Kluyveromyces lactis: one gene and its partners. The protein of the gene in region 1 purifies or fractionates together with the protein of each later gene. This does not show direct contact. Links are inferred from orthologs where the notes say so. Each region holds a gene or a part of one and is shown on either strand. Other genes may lie near its edges.

The links.
Region 2: the proteins of XRN1 (region 1) and LSM7 purify together in Saccharomyces cerevisiae (affinity purification with mass spectrometry; 4 studies listed by BioGRID). This does not show direct contact. The link is inferred for Kluyveromyces lactis from reciprocal best matches to the Saccharomyces cerevisiae genes XRN1 and LSM7.
Region 3: the proteins of XRN1 (region 1) and LSM1 purify together in Saccharomyces cerevisiae (affinity purification with mass spectrometry; 6 studies listed by BioGRID, with this or other methods). This does not show direct contact. The link is inferred for Kluyveromyces lactis from reciprocal best matches to the Saccharomyces cerevisiae genes XRN1 and LSM1.
Region 4: the proteins of XRN1 (region 1) and LSM5 purify together in Saccharomyces cerevisiae (affinity purification with mass spectrometry; 5 studies listed by BioGRID). This does not show direct contact. The link is inferred for Kluyveromyces lactis from reciprocal best matches to the Saccharomyces cerevisiae genes XRN1 and LSM5.
Region 5: the proteins of XRN1 (region 1) and PAT1 purify together in Saccharomyces cerevisiae (affinity purification with mass spectrometry; 8 studies listed by BioGRID, with this or other methods). This does not show direct contact. The link is inferred for Kluyveromyces lactis from reciprocal best matches to the Saccharomyces cerevisiae genes XRN1 and PAT1.
Region 6: the proteins of XRN1 (region 1) and KLLA0_A02761g purify together in Saccharomyces cerevisiae (affinity purification with mass spectrometry; 5 studies listed by BioGRID, with this or other methods). This does not show direct contact. The link is inferred for Kluyveromyces lactis from reciprocal best matches to the Saccharomyces cerevisiae genes XRN1 and YGR054W.
Region 7: the proteins of XRN1 (region 1) and LSM3 purify together in Saccharomyces cerevisiae (affinity purification with mass spectrometry; 6 studies listed by BioGRID, with this or other methods). This does not show direct contact. The link is inferred for Kluyveromyces lactis from reciprocal best matches to the Saccharomyces cerevisiae genes XRN1 and LSM3.

What each region holds. Positions count from the first base shown.
Region 1 is NC_006042.1:2,094,035-2,096,096, forward strand, and holds the end of XRN1 (chromatin-binding exonuclease XRN1), read left to right. Parts: coding exon 1-1,562; downstream 1,563-2,062. Other genes in the region: BUD13 (Bud13p), read right to left, coding at 1,659-2,062. UniProt on the Saccharomyces cerevisiae protein: Multifunctional protein that exhibits several independent functions at different levels of the cellular processes. 5'-3' exonuclease component of the nonsense-mediated mRNA decay (NMD) which is a highly conserved mRNA degradation pathway, an RNA surveillance system whose role is to identify and rid cells of mRNA with premature termination codons and thus prevents accumulation of potentially harmful truncated proteins.
Region 2 is NC_006041.1:2,036,969-2,039,243, reverse strand, and holds LSM7 (Sm-like protein LSM7), read right to left. Parts: upstream 964-2,275; coding exon 952-963; intron 822-951; coding exon 501-821; downstream 1-500. Other genes in the region: ALF1 (Alf1p), read left to right, coding at 1,165-1,917. UniProt on the Saccharomyces cerevisiae protein: Component of LSm protein complexes, which are involved in RNA processing and may function in a chaperone-like manner. Component of the cytoplasmic LSM1-LSM7 complex which is involved in mRNA degradation by activating the decapping step.
Region 3 is NC_006041.1:1,348,189-1,350,396, forward strand, and holds LSM1 (Lsm1p), read left to right. Parts: upstream 1-1,168; coding exon 1,169-1,708; downstream 1,709-2,208. Other genes in the region: DUF5427 domain-containing protein MTC1, read left to right, coding at 1-93; FMP46 (putative redox protein), read right to left, coding at 162-551; KLLA0_E15181g (uncharacterized protein), read right to left, coding at 2,048-2,208. UniProt on the Saccharomyces cerevisiae protein: Component of the cytoplasmic LSM1-LSM7 complex which is involved in mRNA degradation by activating the decapping step.
Region 4 is NC_006041.1:902,701-904,834, forward strand, and holds LSM5 (RNA-binding protein LSM5), read right to left. Parts: upstream 756-2,134; coding exon 501-755; downstream 1-500. Other genes in the region: IPT1 (inositolphosphotransferase), read left to right, coding at 1-257; PAA1 (polyamine acetyltransferase), read left to right, coding at 1,668-2,134. UniProt on the Saccharomyces cerevisiae protein: Component of LSm protein complexes, which are involved in RNA processing and may function in a chaperone-like manner. Component of the cytoplasmic LSM1-LSM7 complex which is involved in mRNA degradation by activating the decapping step.
Region 5 is NC_006042.1:2,529,591-2,533,747, forward strand, and holds PAT1 (deadenylation-dependent mRNA-decapping factor PAT1), read left to right. Parts: upstream 1-1,357; coding exon 1,358-3,970; downstream 3,971-4,157. Other genes in the region: RQC2 (Rqc2p), read right to left, coding at 1-638. UniProt on the Saccharomyces cerevisiae protein: Activator of decapping that functions as a general and active mechanism of translational repression and required for P-body formation. First decay factor recruited to mRNA, at a time when the mRNA is still associated with translation factors.
Region 6 is NC_006037.1:246,386-250,128, forward strand, and holds KLLA0_A02761g (translation initiation factor 2A), read left to right. Parts: upstream 1-1,485; coding exon 1,486-3,243; downstream 3,244-3,743. Other genes in the region: MCO32 (Mco32p), read right to left, coding at 259-870. UniProt on the Saccharomyces cerevisiae protein: Functions in the early steps of protein synthesis of a small number of specific mRNAs. Acts by directing the binding of methionyl-tRNAi to 40S ribosomal subunits.
Region 7 is NC_006038.1:468,650-470,680, forward strand, and holds LSM3 (U4/U6-U5 snRNP complex subunit LSM3), read left to right. Parts: upstream 1-1,279; coding exon 1,280-1,531; downstream 1,532-2,031. Other genes in the region: MRPL4 (mitochondrial 54S ribosomal protein uL29m), read right to left, coding at 1-616; NTE1 (lysophospholipase), read right to left, coding at 1,816-2,031. UniProt on the Saccharomyces cerevisiae protein: Component of LSm protein complexes, which are involved in RNA processing and may function in a chaperone-like manner. Component of the cytoplasmic LSM1-LSM7 complex which is involved in mRNA degradation by activating the decapping step.

The DNA of each region.
Region 1 (2,062 bases):
CGTATGGTGGGGAGGCGACCGTTGATGGTTATAATAGTGAGACTAGATTAAAACTTACAGTCAAAAAGGGTTCTCTCAGAGCAGAGCCTAACATCGGAAAAGTTAGAGCGAAATTGGATTCTCAAGCCTTGAGATTCTACCCAACACAAGTGTTTTCAAAAATAGCTCGTGTCCACCCTCTCTTCTTGTCAAAAATTACTTCAAGATATTTGGTCAATGATTCTAAAAAGAAAAGCCATAACGTCGGTTTGATGATCAAATTCAAAGCAAGAAATCAAAAAGTTCTCGGTTATGCCAGATGCAGCTCAAACAAATGGGAATACTCTGACGTCGCTCTTGGTTTGTTAGAGCAGTTCAGATCTACATTCCCTGAGTTCTTTGCGAAACTTTCTAACTCGAAGGAACAAGCAATTCCATCGATCACTGATCTCTTCCCTAACAAATCTAGCGCGGAAGCTGATTCCATTTTGAAAACAGTGGCTGATTGGCTCTCAGAAGCAAGAAAACCATTCGTGGTGGTGTCTTTGGAAAGTGATTCGCTAACCAAGGCTTCGATGGCAGCTGTTGAATCTGAAATCATAAAATACGTTTCTTTACCAGATTCAAGCGAGCAGAAGAAATTAGCTAAGGTCCCACGTGAGGCAATCTTAAATGCGGAATCGTCATATGTTCTATTGCGCTCCCAAAGGTTCCACTTAGGTGATAGGGTAATGTACATTCAAGATTCAGGCAAGGTTCCACTTCACAGCAAAGGTACTGTCGTTGGCTACACTTCAATTGGCAAGAACGTCTCAATCCAAGTTCTATTTGACAATGAAATAATTGCAGGAAACAACTTTGGTGGTAGGTTGCAGACCAGACGTGGTTTGGGATTGGACTCTTCCTTCTTATTAAACTTGTCTGATAGACAATTGGTATATCATTCAAAGGCATCGAAGAGTGCTGATAAGAAACCAAAAGCAGTTCCTAATGATAAGCAAGTCGCCCTCGCAAAAAAGAAGAGAGTGGAGGAACTCAAAAAAAAGCAAGCCCATGAGTTGTTAAATCATATCAAGAAGGATAACGCGGAATCAAATACCGAATCTGGATCCGCTCCGCAAATAGCAGTTAACACTTTAAATCCTTCGGCTGCTAACAACGTGTTCAATGCCGTCTTGAACCAAATCAAACCAGGTTCTCAACAGCAAATTCAACCACCTCCAGCAAATTCTCTGCCTTACAATTTCACTGTTCCCCCACATATGGTTCCTGGTGGTATTCCTCATCCTCTTATGATGCAGCCGCCTTTCATTCCGAATAATGAGCATATTGCTTATGCAGCTCCTCCTCAGTCACAACCTGTACAAAATCCACCATTAGATAAAGAGGCATCCAGGAATCTTAAGAATCTCCTAATTAGAGATGAGAATGGACGTACAGCAAATGTGGAGAATAAAGACTCAGATGATACAAAGAGATCTTCTCATTCTCGTGGCGGTCGTCGTGGCCGTAGTAATCGTGGTCGTGGTGCCTCCGGGAGGGGTGGTCATTTCAAAAATTCTCCTAAAAAAACTGAAACCTGAATGTTGGTTTGAATGGACTATTAACAGTAAATATTATATCACTTCAGTAAATAATGCTTAGTATATAAGAATAGAGACACTTTCAGGTTCAACTTTTCAAAATTCCCGGTTTGTTGTTTGTTCCTTTATTTTTTGATCAGCGATATCGTGACTCTTAGCAAACCACTTAGTTTCAAACCCATTTGATCTATCAACTCCATCCCATCTATAACCGGGAACGATACCGAACCGATTTTCTGGAAAGTTTTTCTCGTAAAGCCTTCGACCCAACAGTGACGTATTCGTTCCTCGCAGGGTGTTTCCTTGATTCAATGGATCTTCGGTTGATAATAATGCACTTTTCTCAGTTTTGCGATCAAGTTTTGATATTTGTACTTCGCCTATATTTCGTATTTTAAGTTCTTCTTCCTTACGTACTTTCGCTGTCAAATTAGCCTTTTCTCGAAGTTTCAATTCTTCTTCGTATCCATCTATTACCTTACCTTTTTCGTCTCTATATA
Region 2 (2,275 bases), on another chromosome or scaffold:
CGCTTTGATGCGCTAATTGATTGGTCTTCAGTAAAGAGTAAGAATACTACAGAAAATATTATTCAAACAGATTTGCAGCAACAAGCGAAAAGAGAATTTGAAACGTTAAAAGAACAACTCTCACAAGAGATATATACTCACATATATATAAATGAACACCTGGACGCAGTCGGTTTAAAGAATTCAAGATATCTCTCTAATCAGTCGATGCGATGAGATACGGTTTTTTGGTCGAAATTTAACCAAAAAGCTTTGCTGATGTTAGAAAAAAGATTCAATAAGTCACGTGAACGCACATTTGTGCAGATTAGGTCTTGATAAGTGAGATGTAGCCGGTTAGGAAAGTATCTCCGTTGGAGATACTTATTTCATTAGATACAGGTAGAAATGTGGATATGGGCTCATAGTGTGAGTTTGATATAGCACTGAACGTTATATAGCACTATTAATGAACATATATGGTACACTGTTGCTTGAAATTTTTTTTTTTTGGGTCTTAACTAGGTATTGATGATCTCAGCACCTTCGAGGGAACATAGCGAAAGTAGAGCTGTTCCTCTTATGACGACCAAACCAATTTTTTTGGCTTGGTCCTTGTGGATGATGGTTTCATCTTCTGGGTCTCTTGCATATTCGACGGTTTCGTCAAGAACCAAGTTCATTAGCTCGTCATAACCCTTTAGGATTCCAGTGACCAGTCTTCCCCCTATGAACTTGACACGTACTTCTGTGTCCTTATATTGTGCAAGATTTATGATAGACTCACGCTTTGGGCCTTCGAACTTCTTCTTCTGCTCTTGTCTCGGTTGTTGTGATTGCCTCTGCAGAGAAGGGGAATGTATAAACTCTCTAACTGTTAGTAAATTTGAACTTAAAATGTAGAATGGATCATTGTTTTGAGAAAGTTGAAGAAGTTTTAGAAAGCCGTCCTAATTATAGTAGTTAACATACTGCTTCGCTCATTATTAGTAGTTGGTTGGGTGGGGTAGCGCTGTTTGCTCAATGGGTTATTGTCAAAGTGTGTTACTGGTTTCAAATTAACTTTTCATTTAAGTTTACGGAACATTGAAAAATTCGATGTTCAAACATGCCTGGACAAAACGACAAACATTGAACTTACAGCATCGAAGACAAAATAAAACAGAGGATATATCAGCACCGATAATGTCATCTGACGTGGAAATTATATCCGATTTGGTTAACACTCAGATCTTTGTGAAACCTGGTACATCATGGGACCATCTGGGCCAAAGATTGAACGAATTGACCGGTGTTGATGTTCAAGACATGAAATTGGTGATAAATGGCAATGCACAGAACAGCAAGTATTTGAAAGATCTCAAAGACCAGAAAGTAGAGAAAATCCAGTCCATAAAAGTGATAGACACCAACGAAAACAGTTTAGCAAGCCAATTGAAAAATGATTTGCTACATGCTAATAGCGATGACGTTTCGTTCCGATACACCATGGACGATTATGAGAACAGAAGGGATTCTGTATTACAATGGAAAAAAGATAACAAGTTAGGGAAATTTAATCCTGAATACCGCTCTAAGATGGAAGAACAACTACAACTGAATATCGATAAGGCAGAACTATTACAAAAACACGTTGGAGAAAGATGCAGAGTACTGTCCAACGAGGAAACAACGACCGATTCCACCAAGGTCCCCGAAAGAAGAGGATGGTTACGATACGTGGGAAAAGTTCAAGAGATCAGTAATACAGATGTATGGTGTGGAATTGAATTTGACGAACCTGACGGTAAGAACAATGGTACATTCCAAGGAACGAAGTATTTCGGACCAGTAAAAAAGAATTACGGCGGGTTTGTGAGACCTGCCGTTGTTGAAGTAGGTCCTCAATTCACGCCATTAGCTGACGATGAATTGATGCTCACAGATGATGAGTTATAGGGAGTTGATAATTTACATAAGTTTAATTATATTCTCGTCCTTGGCCTCGTGGATGATACTCTGAACTACGGAAATGACACCTGACACACACGTGACAGGGTCTACTACTGAATGAATTCGTAATTGGTTTGAGTCGGGTGTTGTGCCGTAGCTGGTAAAAAGGCCACGTTGCGACTTCGGTTCGAATCTTCCTCAGAACACAAAGTCTCTGTTCATATGAACCTGGTTACAAAAAGATCAAATATGGCAATTCATTTCCTGTTCTCAACTTCATACTAAGCCCTTGAAGCGCTTCAAAGAATATTCACTCTTAAGTATAAGGTGGATGCTCGTTACTTTGAAGTGTTTTGAGAAGAGG
Region 3 (2,208 bases), on another chromosome or scaffold:
AGTGATTGGGTGAAACCATGGATATCCGAAGGTCTTGATCTAACTTTCGGTATTCTTGCCCAACAATACGTCATAAGCAGAATGAATTTGTGAAGTGTCTTTTACATACATATTTTAAAACCCTAATTACTGTTATTAATCATCATTATTATACTCCCATATCAGTTTTTTGGTAACCATTTCTCTTTCAACGATTGAACCGTCGTGCCTAATACAGCTTTTTCCCAGTCAACCCATAAGCTCGTCTGTTTATTCCAAGACCCATTCTCGACACATTTCTGCAATGGTGACCCAAATAGTGGATCCTCAGCAGCTTTTTTCAAAAGAGATTCCGTCTTAGGAATCTGTTCCATTAAGTCGGGCTTATCAATTTTTGCCAAATATTCCAATTGATCTCTAGTAGGGAATTTCTGGCATATTTCAATGTTGATTTTGTTCTTGTGGTTCGATTTTAATGCCGTTAGAAGATTTTGAGCATGAGATGATTCTAATTTGTGTGTGAATAATGTCACTACGCGAGGTTGAAATTGGATGGTTTTAAACATAGACATGATGAATTGAAGATACTGATTGTCAATGTCCCCCTCTATAAAAAATTCGAACTTTTACTCAGTTAAATACTTCAGTCTAATTAAGTCAGGTCACCCCAGTAATTGTTGCTGCCTTTATATACGCAATACTAAATTAAGACATCTTTGAAATATGTACATTTTGGAAATCATACTATTATCCCTCAAATACGCATGGCAGGGAAACAAAATCCCGGAAAATCCAGCAATCAATACTATGATACGGAGTCATGACGTCCCTACTTAGTATCCGGATTGGCAGCACCTTTCACCTACTTGGAAACAGAATCATCAAGCTAACCATTTGTGCCTTGTCTGTGCAATGACTATGCGGTCCTGTAGCAAAGGTAGTCATCCTATAGTTACCCTGCCTCAACGTTACCATACATTTTTTTTCTTCAATTCGTTTCAGCTAGCTCAACATCAAATGGAATTGCAATGAACTGCCAAAAAGATGAATCGTTGGACGCTTTAACGGCCTATTTATCCTTCAAGTGATACCCAGAACTATCACAATCAGTGTTGAATTTTACAATTCATTATAATCTTTTTTTTTTTTTTCACTTGCTCATTGAAAGAATCAGAGTCTCAAATTACAAATGTCCTCTTCGTCTCCGAATAGCGACAGAGCAAGTTCAGTAGGAGTTACTGAACCAGTGGCTTCCGATGTGGAAGAAAATCGTCCTAAGTCCAAGCTATCAGAAGGTGAAGCAGATTTATATTTGGACCAATACAATTTCACAACTACAGCTGCCATTGTTGGCTCAGTAGACCGCAAGATATTCGTACTATTGCGCGATGGCCGTATGTTCTTCGGTGTACTAAGGACGTTTGATCAATATGCCAACTTAATACTACAGCATACGGTGGAAAGAATATATATCGAGGGTGAGAATAAATATGGTGAATGTGACAGAGGAGTTTTCATGATAAGAGGTGAAAACGTTGTTATGTTGGGCGAAGTAGACATCGATAAGGAGGATGCACCATTGGAATCGATGGAACGTGTTCCATTTGAGGAAGCTGAAAGCTATAAGGAGAAAATGGACGAGGTGAAATACAAGGAGAACACTGCTAAGGGTAAGAGACTAGCGCAGCTTGGTTTAACTACCGATTTCAATAAAGGTGATTTGTATTAAGTATAAGATTATAATTAGTTTAAAAGACAAGCAAAAAAAAATCGTAAAACATACAATTCGAAACTAAACTAAACTAAACTAAATCATTACACAAACTGGAGATCGTGTGGTTTTGAAGGGTATTTATCTTTTGATACTCAATTATATATCACATAGAGATATATATATTCACTTATATATGGTTCGGTACTGTACTATTCATAATAAGTAAAATGCATAGATAGCGCGGCATGGCATTCCAAAAAAAAAAAAAAAAAAATTAATGGGACAATAATCCCCATTTGACATAAAATAGAACCATTATAACGGTCAAAATTAATTCTTAACTAACGGATCAACTCATTTGCCAGCGAGCGTCGTTAATTCTTGATCGTATGTCTTTTGAAATTTGTTATAATTACTGATTTCCAACCTCCCCAGTTGTGATATTAATGATTCGTCCGGCGTATCATTAATTCTTAGCGATCGACTCACTTGCCACATATGTGACAAGGGTGTTT
Region 4 (2,134 bases), on another chromosome or scaffold:
CGATTTTCGTATGCTTACAATGGTGGTCAACCCAATATTTGGATCACCATTTCAGATACGATTTATTCGTCGGTGCCGTTTATGCTGTAATCTCATACATCTTGATCAACAAATACGTCTTGCAACCAAAAGTTATCAAGCCTTGGCTAATAACCAGGGCTGATCCTACCTTGGACAAAATGAAAGAGTCAAAAACTATGGGTATGAGAGTTTTTGAAAACACTAAGATCGAATGGTTTTTCGATCCCTTGGCATGATATAGTTGAACAACAAAAATCAACAAACCTTCGGATACGGTATATCAAACGTCTCGTACGTTTGCATTGATTCATTTTTTGTATAAGCTGCACTTCAATATGATAATTATTTTACATATAAAATATATAATATATACTTACAAAGGATGTTAGTCAATATATCAATACCAAACATCTGAGAGAGAAAAAAACAGCATGCATGTTACAGATTTCGTTTTGAACATCAATATGCAGTTCCATTGTTTAATTTGAAGCAGGTTTTCCACCAGGTATCAACATAGCAATGTTGTTACCAGTCAATAACATCTTTCCCTGGAATCTTTTAATCTCCTGGTCTTCCAAATACTCTACCGCATTTTCAATGACAACATTAACGTAATCATCGAACCCTACTAGCGTACCAAAGAATTCTCTGTAATCTTTAAGTAGAATGGTCACTTCCTGTCCTATTGTTTTGTCAATGACCTCTAGGGGCAAAATCTCTGAAACACTACTCATATCCCGTCGTTTTATAAATATGTGTTGATGCAGTAGTAGAGCAGGAGGTTTTAATAGTCTAATGATACTAATAGACAGTAGTTGTCGTCAGCTCACAGCTTTATCTCTTTGATCAAAGGTACTTATTTCTTGAAACTTTCAAAGCTCTCTCAATATGTGATTGTATGGTGAAAGTAAGCGTAGTTGGCCGAAAGAAGGCAATAAAGTAAAGAAATGAGCCCATAAAAAGCCTTAAAAGCTGCTACAAGGTAGGCCAAGAATGTTGTATCTATTGGCATCGACTTGATGGTGCTGTTGGCTACAAAGGCTTAAACAACATGCAATTTCGCTAGGAACGGACGGTACGGGTCACATGACATCTCACTAAACACGAACATCAGGTGTCCCTGAGACACTGTTCACCAGCTGTGATGATTGGCGTTCTGGTCCAAGATTAAGCCTCTGGTGACCATTCAACTTGCCAGTCCGGTATTTACAGGTTCTGTCAACTTTAGATTTGGTTATCACTCACAAATTCCTACCAAGTGGTGCGTAATTTCTATATTCTTGCCGCAACTGTTGTTTCTCCTTTGTACAATATCAAAATAACAATTCAATTGCAATATCAATCATATATACTAAGGTTTTACATATGATGATAAGGATAAGGATAACAAATACATATAGACACACATCTCACAAGACTATCACTTCCGTTATTGAGCAGTTCACAAAGACATCATATCTGTCTAACACTAGTTGATAAAATCAATTGGTCTAGGAGTTGAATACCATTGTTGATAATAAGGTTCGATTGATTTTAGAAGCAAACTAGAATAAGGAGCAAATAATTGTATTATTGTGGCTAGAATTGAAGAAACAACATTAGGAAATCATTATTAAGTATTATAAAATCAGAAAAGAATTTTCACTATGTCATCGTCATTGCCACTGCATGTTTATATTAGACCATTAACGATAGAAGATTGCCAAGCATCAGTAGAGCTAGAGGCACAAGGCTTCCCACCTGAAGAAAGGGCTGGAAAGGAGAAGATCGAATTCAGATTGAAGATGTGCCCCGAATTGAGCTCGGGTCTTTTCATTAGAGACGTTAAAGGCACTGAGATTTTGGGAGAAAAGTTGATTGGCCATATCTTTGGTACCAAGATCCCCATCCCAAAAAACGGTACCAAGGAATTAACTTTTATTACCAACGAAAGCATGAGTTTCACACAAGACGATTCTTCTCCTGTCATTGGAGTGCATTCTGTCGTCATTGCTCCACAACATCAGAAGAAGAACCTAGCTACTCTACTATTGACAGATTACATCCAAAAGATGTCTAACCAAGAAATCGGAGACAGAATTGTTATCATTGCCCATAACGAGCTGGTACCATT
Region 5 (4,157 bases), about 440 kb from region 1:
AAAAGTTTTTGAATAGACGGAACAGATGCTTTTCCCTTGAGTTTACCTTTTTTAGCCTCTCCGGGCACAATTGTGCTTTTGGCTTTAACGTCGGCTTCTTTCAACCAATCTGCTATTTCATTTTCGAAATATTCCTTAGGATCAGGAACCGTAGTTGAAGTTTGGTTAATTTCTGCAAAGTTGGCCATGTCATAAAATTCACCAACTTTCATCGAATAATCATCGACAACTCTCTGTAGTAAAAGAATTTTTTGGTCAGCATCCAATAAAAGCACATTTCCGGCACTGAAAAATTCTAAAACAAGGTAGTACTTACCATCAGCAAAAGTAAACACAATTATTCTGTCATTTGGGATCTGCTTAACTGCCGTCAATCGTTTTTCTTTCAAATACGATCTCAATTTGGAAACAAACCACGAAGGAGTCGGGGGAATCGGCCTGGTAAAGTCAGTAGTATGAACTCGCAATCCGCAATCAATGACAACGTTTAACTTGGAATCGGGTTTTCCAAACTTTAATAAGAATTGCCTGTTTGAGTCAGCAATGTTATAGATATTTCTTAAGCGAAATCCTACAATTTGATTCTCCAACTCTTTGGATATCAGTTGCAAATCTAACGAACTCAATCTCTGTTTCATTTTCTAGTATCAAATCCAAGATTATAGTTTAGATATTTCGTACTCTCCAAGTTGCAGTTAAGTCCACTTTACCAGTCTGAGTTGATTCTTTTCGAGCACTATACTTGATTCAGATCTTCATACAAATCAGTATTTTCACTGCTAATCAGATTAAAATTATTAGAACTTGGTCACTGCTATTAGATCAGATATCTTTTATTACTTAGGTTTAAGACTAAACTGCTAAGCTGATATATTTTCCAGATAGCTGTACCTAGGATGTTAGTAGTATATGTCATCTTTGTCTATTCGCAATCACTTTATATATGCTGCTAATGAAGGAAAGAAAGACTACGTACGAGTTTGTATTGGAACTTTCTAAACTACCATGTTGAAAAATGTCAAATATTTGAAATCACATGACCTGAATTTCAAATTTTGAACTAGAAATCCTTAATATGTATATCATCTTGCACGGTGAAATTTTTCATCAAACAACAACCCAAAAATGTAATTCACTTAACAAGCAAAGTAGTTTCTATGCTCAAAAATAAGTGATCAGAGATATTCAGAGACCGTTTGTTGGAAGATTGCTTGAACGAAACGCAGGCAGGTAGCGACTTAAATCACATTACTTGTGTTTTTAAGAGAATATAATAGGATTTGTCGACAATTCTGATCTAGAAATCGATTTTTGCCCAATTAGTATAGGAGTCCTTATATTCCTGAATCACTGAACGATGTCATTCTTCGGTTTTGACGCCACGGGCCGAAAACCTCGTGAGAGGAAACAGCAAGGCGAGGAGGATTCTTTAGATTTCGAAGAAACGTATCAAGGCTTGGGTGATTATGAGCCAGAGGAAGATGATTTGCTCAATGATGAAACTTTTGGTACTGGAGCGGATCTGGGTACAGATTTTGATTTTGGTTACGGTAAAGGGGAGCTTGGCGCTGGTTCAGGTTCTGGTAGGGCACCAGCACCAGCTCCTGTTTCTTATGCATCTATTGCAAATGCCAAAATGAACAGACAAGCAGACTGTAAACCTGGTTTCGAACAATCGCTGGACATGCAACCTATGGAATCTTTATGGGGTAACAGCTCCGGTAATCAGCAACAACAGGTGCAACCTCAAGCCCCTACACAATTCCAAGCCCCACCACAGGTTCAACAGCAAGGTGCACCTAATGTGGAAGGATTGGCCATTCAATCTTTAGACAGACAACAACAGATGGCTATGCCGCCTCAACCTGGATTCTATGGTATGCAACCTCCGCAGAACCCTGGCTACGGCTTTATTCCACAAGGGTTCCCTCAAGGTCAATACCAGCAATTCCCTGGGCAAAATATTCCCCCTGTTATCCCTAATCAATTCGGTAATGCCGGATTTCCTAATCAACCTGTTAACCCTCAGGAACAATTCCAACAAGTACCACCGATAATGTACAATCAAACACAAGGAAACATTGCACATCATATGCAACATCCGCAGATGGCTATGCCACCAATGCAAAATCAACCTCCTGTTCAGCCCCAGCAGCCCCACCAACAGCAGTTACCTCCCCAATACTTGCCTCAACAACACCAACAAGATCAGCAGCACCAACAACAACACCAACAGCAACAAGTGTTCCAACAGCCTCACTCCGTTGACACTGCTGCTAGAACCCAAGCTGTCCGTTCTACTCAAGATTATGAGCATTCTAACTCTCCAACACCTGTGCCAACAGAATCAGAGCAGGTGCCAACTCCACCTCATACACCTAGAGAGTATCGCCGTGGTCCAAGGAGGTTTGGCACCCAAGATCCTTTGACTGATGAAGAATTGAGACGTCTTCAAATCAGACAATCGAAGGTTGACAAAATTCTCAGACACTCTGGTGTAATGACTCCAAGAGACAAGGATTTTATCACCAGGTATCAGTTATCTCAAATTGTCACTGATGATCCCTACAATGAGGATTTCTACTTCCAAGTTTATAAAATCATTCAAAGGGGTGTCACTCCATCTGAATCTAATAAGGATTCTATTGCTAAAGCATATTTAGAGCACTCGGGTCACAGATTAGGAGGTCGTTACAAGAGAACTGACGTCGCGTTACAGAGAATGCAATCTCAGGTCGAGAAGGCTGTTACCGTTGCGAAAGAAAGACCACAGAAAAGTAAGGGTGGGTTGGATAATGCCAAAGAGGGTGTCTTGGGTAAAATCTCAGCTACTAGGAACTCAAAAGCTCCAAGAAAGCAATTACAAATCCCAACTCACAAAGAGGATTCTCCAGCGTTGTCTTCTCAATCAAGCTCAGCCCTAGATGAGGTGTCTGAATCTTTGCAAGGCGTGGATATCAATGCCAAAAGAAGAAGATCATCTTATGCTTTGAGTTCTTCAGTGGACCATCGTACAGTTTTATCCCGTTCTGGTGGCCGTAAGTTCATTTTATCATTGATTGAAACTGTTTACGAAGAAGTGCTTGAACTAGAAGCTCAATTGAGATCCGGTCAACAGCCGGACAGTTCAAAATTATGGGAGGCGCTACACGTTGAGGACCACGGTTTTGACGTTTCTCCCTTCATTTCCATCTTATCTTTCGACAAAGGTATCAAGATTATGCCACGTATTATGAATTTCTTGTCAAGAGAAGAGAAGATTAAGCTTTTCAACTGCTTCTTCAAGGAACTTTCTCATTTGAATGTCATTGTCATATCATCGTACAAGACTACTCCACTTCCTACTAAAGATCAACTGAAGAAGATGGAATTGTTCCAATCTGTGTTTTTGAAGATCATTGTTTCGTTCTTATCCAGTTCAGCAGAGTTTTTGGAGGTAATGAGTCTACTAATAAATGTCATTCAGAATAATAACGTTTCTTTCATCACCACATCGCGTATCGGTTTGAATTTGATTACCGTGCTCATTTCACGTGCTGCTTTGATGAAACAAGATGTTAGCAGGGGCAAACTGTTGTCTTCTGTGGAAGTATCCACTTGGAGTGAAGTCTATGATAGGCTATTTACTTCTTTAGAAACAAAATTGACTGCAATTTTCCCAACACCTGAATATATGCAACACGCCATTTCAGTTTATGAACAGGATTCTACTCAGTATGATCAATCTTACATCTGGCAGTTCCTTGCATCGCTTGCTTTGAGCGGAAAATTGAACCATCAACGTATATTGATTGATGAAGTGAGAGACGAAATTTTCGAAGTCATTTCAAAGGCTGAAGAACTAAATGCCCCTTCTCAACAAGACCCTAAACTGGCTTATCAAAGAAACAAGTTCTATCAGGATTTGAACTTGTTCTTGAATGTCATGGGTCTTGTTGCTCGTGATGGTGAAATCACTGAACTGAAGTGATCGATATCGTGCGCCTCCTCTGATCAGCCCCTATCTCGATTGCCACTGTTAACTGTGTGCTACAAATTCGAAATCAAATCTCAAGGAAAAAAATTGCAAAAAAAAGTCAGCTTTATAGTATCTAAGTAATTCTTCTATTTACTATTACAAATGTATCATATTTCCATCTACTAGAACACTTCAATCC
Region 6 (3,743 bases), on another chromosome or scaffold:
AACCATTCAATTCACTTCGTGTCCAAACAACGAACTTTAAATAGTAGACATCTAATATTCATACCAGGTTCAACACTATTTTCTAGCTTTGCCTTCCAGTAAGGTTTCGTTAATTGCCCTAGTGATATAATCATAATAAAAAACCCATCTAAATTAACATACTTCCATACACGTAAATATATATGTCTCAAGTTGGAAATAAAGAAAAGGCAACGTGTATATACAAGAGTGCACTTGTGGAATCGATAACCATAGAGATCATGGTCCTGACCATGTCTTGAAGTAGGCGATTGCACCATTTTGAACCTTTGAACTAAAATCTATCTTTTTATCTTTTTCGATTATTTCGACATCATCTATTAGATGACTCGTAATCTTATCACAGTTCTCATTCAAACCAAAGATAAAGATCCCTGAAATTTTCGTCTCTGACTCAGCTTTCTTGATACTCCCTAGATTATCTGCAGCCAAGGGATGGGTTTCCCATCTCATAATTACTTCATGCTTCTCAACGTCAAGGCTTTTAATACGTACCCTGTTTTCAACTGAGAATGCAAAAGTGTTCAATAAGAACCGTATGCTATTCCAGACAGCATAATACTTCGTTATTCCGGAGAAGCTTGGCAAGTACGGATGGGTAATAGGCATAATCTTCAACTCTATGTCTTTGCTTAGTCTCGGTTCATGTAAAGAAGTTTGTAGAAGATGTGGGACATTTGACTGCAAGTATGTTATCGTACATCCCAAATTCACACGACGGATATTTTCAGTACTCATCTTTCCATTGTTACCAATATCAGCACACCCAGAGGTCCCACTGTACCGCCGCACAGACCGCAGAAATCCTAATCTTCTTATTGTTGTGCTCATCGATATAATAATTAAACTAATGGACAAATCTCGTAAATTTTATCGTTAAACGCATGCAAATTAAATCTTAAGCTATTACGGTAAGGTGTTATTCTATCAGTACCCAAAACTTTCAATATATTAGGCAAATATTAACTATGTTAACCCAATGTCTAATGTACCATTCGGATCTATTACATTTGCTTTAAGCAGATTTGATCATCACGATATTTATCCCCATGCCAAATGTTGAGAAAAGTCTCGTTACCCTGACATACACATGTCATATCAATTTTTTTTTTTCGCTTCTTCCTCTTCGAACTTTTCAACTTGAAGGCTTTCTTTCACTCTAAAGATATAATCATCGATATCTAATTGTTTCGATAGTGTTTGCGTTTGGTTGGAGATAAATAGGTGTGCAAGGCCTGCTATTTCGCTAATTTGGCGCAAATTATTACTTAAGTCATTAAGCCATCCATTAATTTTTAAGAGAGCTTCAATTGATTGAGAAAACTATTAAAAAAGTGCCTCTCACATCATTCATTCATTCTTTGGTTTAGAGATCTATTTAAATCAATCTTAAGCATTTTAGCAACCAAGGCGAGAAAGACTCAATAAGTTACATAGGTTTGGCTCATGTCGTTCCAGTTGTTTGCTAAGACTAACTCCACCGTGGAAGTCTTCCAAGGATACCCATCATTTGAGGAGATTTCCTCATCTAAGAGCGGAAACGATGGTACTGAAGGTAAAGTGATTCAATCTCTTTTGTCTCCATGCGGTAGATTCATGGCTAAATCGTACGAGAGTAAAGTTGTACTGTTAATCGGTGAAACCTGGGAAATCACATTGGTGGAATTACCGTTAAAGAACGTTTATGACCTAAAATTTTCTCCAAGTGGGAACTTTTTGTCTACTTGGGAAAGACCTTTAGTAGACGACACAGAACACCTAAATTGTAAGATTTGGAACTTGAATGAGTCACCATTGTCTACAGAACCAAAATACAGTTATAAAGCATCGACCCAAAGTTCTTGGACTTTACAATTCTCTAAGTTGGATGACTATGCCATCAAGTCATTTGGTAAGGAACTTCGCATCATCAAGTTAAGTGGTGAAGACACATTCAAGTTTGACAAGCCATTTGCCACTTTGACTCCAGACCAACCATTCACCACCTATCAAATATCTCCGGCTGAACATCCAACTATTTGCACGTTCACAAAGGAAAAGTCAGGAAAACCTGCACAATTAACCATTTGGCCCATTACCACTGGTAAGATTACCAAACAAATTGTCACCAAACAATTTTTCAAAGCAGATTCATGCCATTTAAAATGGAGTGATTTAGGTAATGCCATATTATGCCTAACCACCACTGATTTCGATCATTCTAATAAGTCCTACTACGGTGAAAATAACCTGTACTTATTGTCATTCCAAGGTGTCAATGGTGCATTGGGTGGCGAATCAGTCCGTGTATCCCTTGGTAAAGAAGGACCAATTCATGATTTCAACTGGTCTCCAACTTCGAGACAATTTGGTGTCATTTACGGATTCATGCCAGCCACTATCACATTCTTTGATCTTAAGGGCAACGCCATCCATTCTTTAAACGAACAAAGGAAAAACACATTAGAATTTTCGCCAAATGGTAAATACATCCTTGTTGGTGGTTTCGGTAACTTGCAAGGCTCTGTGGATATTTTGGATAGACATGATAAATTTAGATGCATCAGTAAATTTAGCGCTACAAACACTTCTGTCTGCAAATGGTCTCCAGGCGGCGAGTTCATCTTAACAGCAACCACTTCTCCAAGATTGAGAGTGGACAATGGATTGAAAATCTGGCATTATTCTGGTACCTTGGTGTTCGTTAAAGAATACAAAGAGCTTTTGAAAGTGGATTGGAGAACGAATTGTCCTTTCAGAATAATCAAGGATGGGTATGTTACCAACGGTAACAAATTGAAGGACGAGGAATTGAAACAAGATCCAAAGATTAGAAAGCATCAGCTAGAAATACATCCAGTGGTCACTCAGTTCAACTTGAAGAACCCAAACAAGTCATCAACTAATTTAGGCGCCAAGAAAACCACTGGAGCCTACAAACCCCCACATGCTAGAAAAGCAACTGTAGTACCTGGAACCACTAAAACTAGAGCACCACAATCAACTCCAACGCCGCCCCTTCAACAATCTGCTGCAAGTCAAACTTCACCAGAAGAAAAGAAAATCAGATCTTTGTTGAAGAAATTAAGAGCCATTGAGTCACTCAAAGTAAAACAAACCGAAGGTGTCAAGTTAGAAAACACCCAGGTCACAAAAATCCAATCAGAACCTAAGATCTTAAAAGAGTTGGAATTACTTGGTTGGAAGGGAGAGTTAGATTCATGAGAGAAAATACCAGAACCCCATGAAAATATTATCTCCGGATCCATTAAAATATACACCTACATTCTCATTTATTACAAGTTGGATGTATTGGAATATAACCTACATATCAGAGATATAACAAAGCCACGATAGTTAATAAAGCACTGTCAACCCTTTCATAATCATTTATAGTAACGCCTTTTACTTTATTAGACATGCACGCCATTCGGACAAAAAAAGTTTGAAATTCAACCAAAAAGAATGGTCGCGCCCGGATTCGAACCGGGGTTAATGGAATATTCGGGACTTGTACTTCTCTCGAAGCAACTTCTCAGAATCCACGGTGATAACCTCTACACTACGCAACCGTCAACTTATTCCATCCGGTGATTTGAAAAGACCATCAGGGGCAATTGTTGCCAAAGAACATCACTGTCTTGGGAATTATTCTCCATACGTGAAAGCGTGCCCCATGCTATGTGGCTTCTCCATTCAGGCACCTATTTCGACAAATGATACTA
Region 7 (2,031 bases), on another chromosome or scaffold:
CGTATATGGCATATTGAAAACGTTGCAATGATTCGAAAATCTCTTCATCTTCGTTAGCAGGAGCTTCTAAAAAGTCTTTTTCGAATGATTCGATAAATACTTGTTTTTCAACAGCAAATTTCTCATTCGCTATCTTGAATGCCCAGTCTCGTTCGCTAAGGACGTGTCTTATTCTCCACATTGTCGTTCTGATCTTTTCGGAGATATCTTGGTATGCTTCGGTTTGTGCTTCAAAGTTGAACTGCACCAAATGGTTTTCACGTGCTAATACGTTACGTTCTTTCAAACATGTGTACCACAAAGAATGTAGGTCAGTGAACGATTTTCTTCTCAACTCTGGGATGGTCCAAGGTCTCGAAAGCGTATCCAATTCCTCGGGCGTTCTTAAAAACTTCTTCTCGGAGAAAAATTGCCATAAAGGATGATCATCTGGACATGTCAAATTGGCAGCAGCCGGTGGAATAGGAGCTGTAATCTTTAAATCATTATCGTGATGGGTCCTCTGGGTAGGTAGTCTAACGTTCTCTCTCTTGGCTGGTTTGGGTTTAGGTTTGGTGAATCTCGTCCTGGCACATGCTCTAGAAGTAGTATGCAATCCCCTTCTTGCTGGGAACATTTTGAAAATATAATATCCCTGCTATAATAAACACGTCCTGCAGCTACTCAATCGAGGTAGAACACTTCAATATCACGACAGCTAGCTGATTCATCCATGTTTTAATTCCTATTCAGCTTTCCTCTGCTTAAATGTTATAAAAATTTTTTGATCGAACAGAGTTGATTCGGGGTCCGTCATTAGGTTGCCCGGCCTTTGTCATGTGATAGTCACGTGAATATCAGGTTGACTATTGACTCTCTTAGTGAAGCATAGTGCAATAAGATGATAAACTAGCATCGCATATCCTGGCCATCTTTCAACAGGTACAGTATCATTCAAAGATGGTTGGAAACGTGTACCTTCCCTGGTTTAACTGATTATTCTATAATTCAGAGCTTTCCATTGACATCGAAATTCAAAACTTCAACACTTTTTATCAATTAGTACGTTAACAATAATTTGGTGATTAAGTATGTTATGGAGGATGCTCTGGAGTGTGAATGGAACTAAGCCTTGGATTGTATATCGACTACTCTACTATACCTGGTACTCCATTTGATAAACTGACAAAGGAAACCATTCAACCTAACTGCTGTACCCTCTATCAATTGCATTATTGGTTATTGTAAGAATACGACTGCATCATAAATATAGAAGACATACACACTTTACGCCGCAAAGATGTCTGATACGCCTCTGGATCTATTAAAATTGAATTTAGACGAGCGAGTATATGTGAAATTACGTGATGCTCGTGAATTAGTGGGTACTCTTCAGGCTTTCGACTCACATTGTAATATTGTTCTTTCAGATTCAAAGGAAACCATTTATGAACTAGTAGAAGGAGATTTGAAAACGACCGAAAGGTTTTCGGAAATGATTTTCGTTAGAGGTGGTCTTGTGGCCCTTGTAACAACACCAGAAGATGAATGATTGTCCAGTATCCTTCTTCTTCTTTCAACATTTAATAAGGGAAATTCGAAGAAATAACTTCATGTCCTCATTATTGATTGAGTGCGATGTGAGCTATCCTCATTTTGCCCCCAATATACATCCATCGCTAACATTTGTATAGTATATATTTAGTTTATTCAATTTTTTTTTAACTTTCGGTTTACAGTTACTTAGAAACTATAACGTTAATTGCCATGGCTTTGATTTTATGTCCTGCATGTCCACCATCGACAAATGTGGGTAGCGTTTCCTGTTAATTCGTTTTATATACTGTTCCGTCTTTGTAACATGTTTTCTTTGTCGGCATAAGCAGAAGTTGTGGTACCCGCAATTGGCGGTAATTCGTTTTTCTCTTGCAGATGTTGTAAAAAGTCATGACCGTACGCGTAGCCTACTTGGTATATTTCTTCAAACTTACCAAAATCCAAAGTCGCATAGTTCTCAATAGGAGGCCTGATGTACACCACACCTGGTGTACT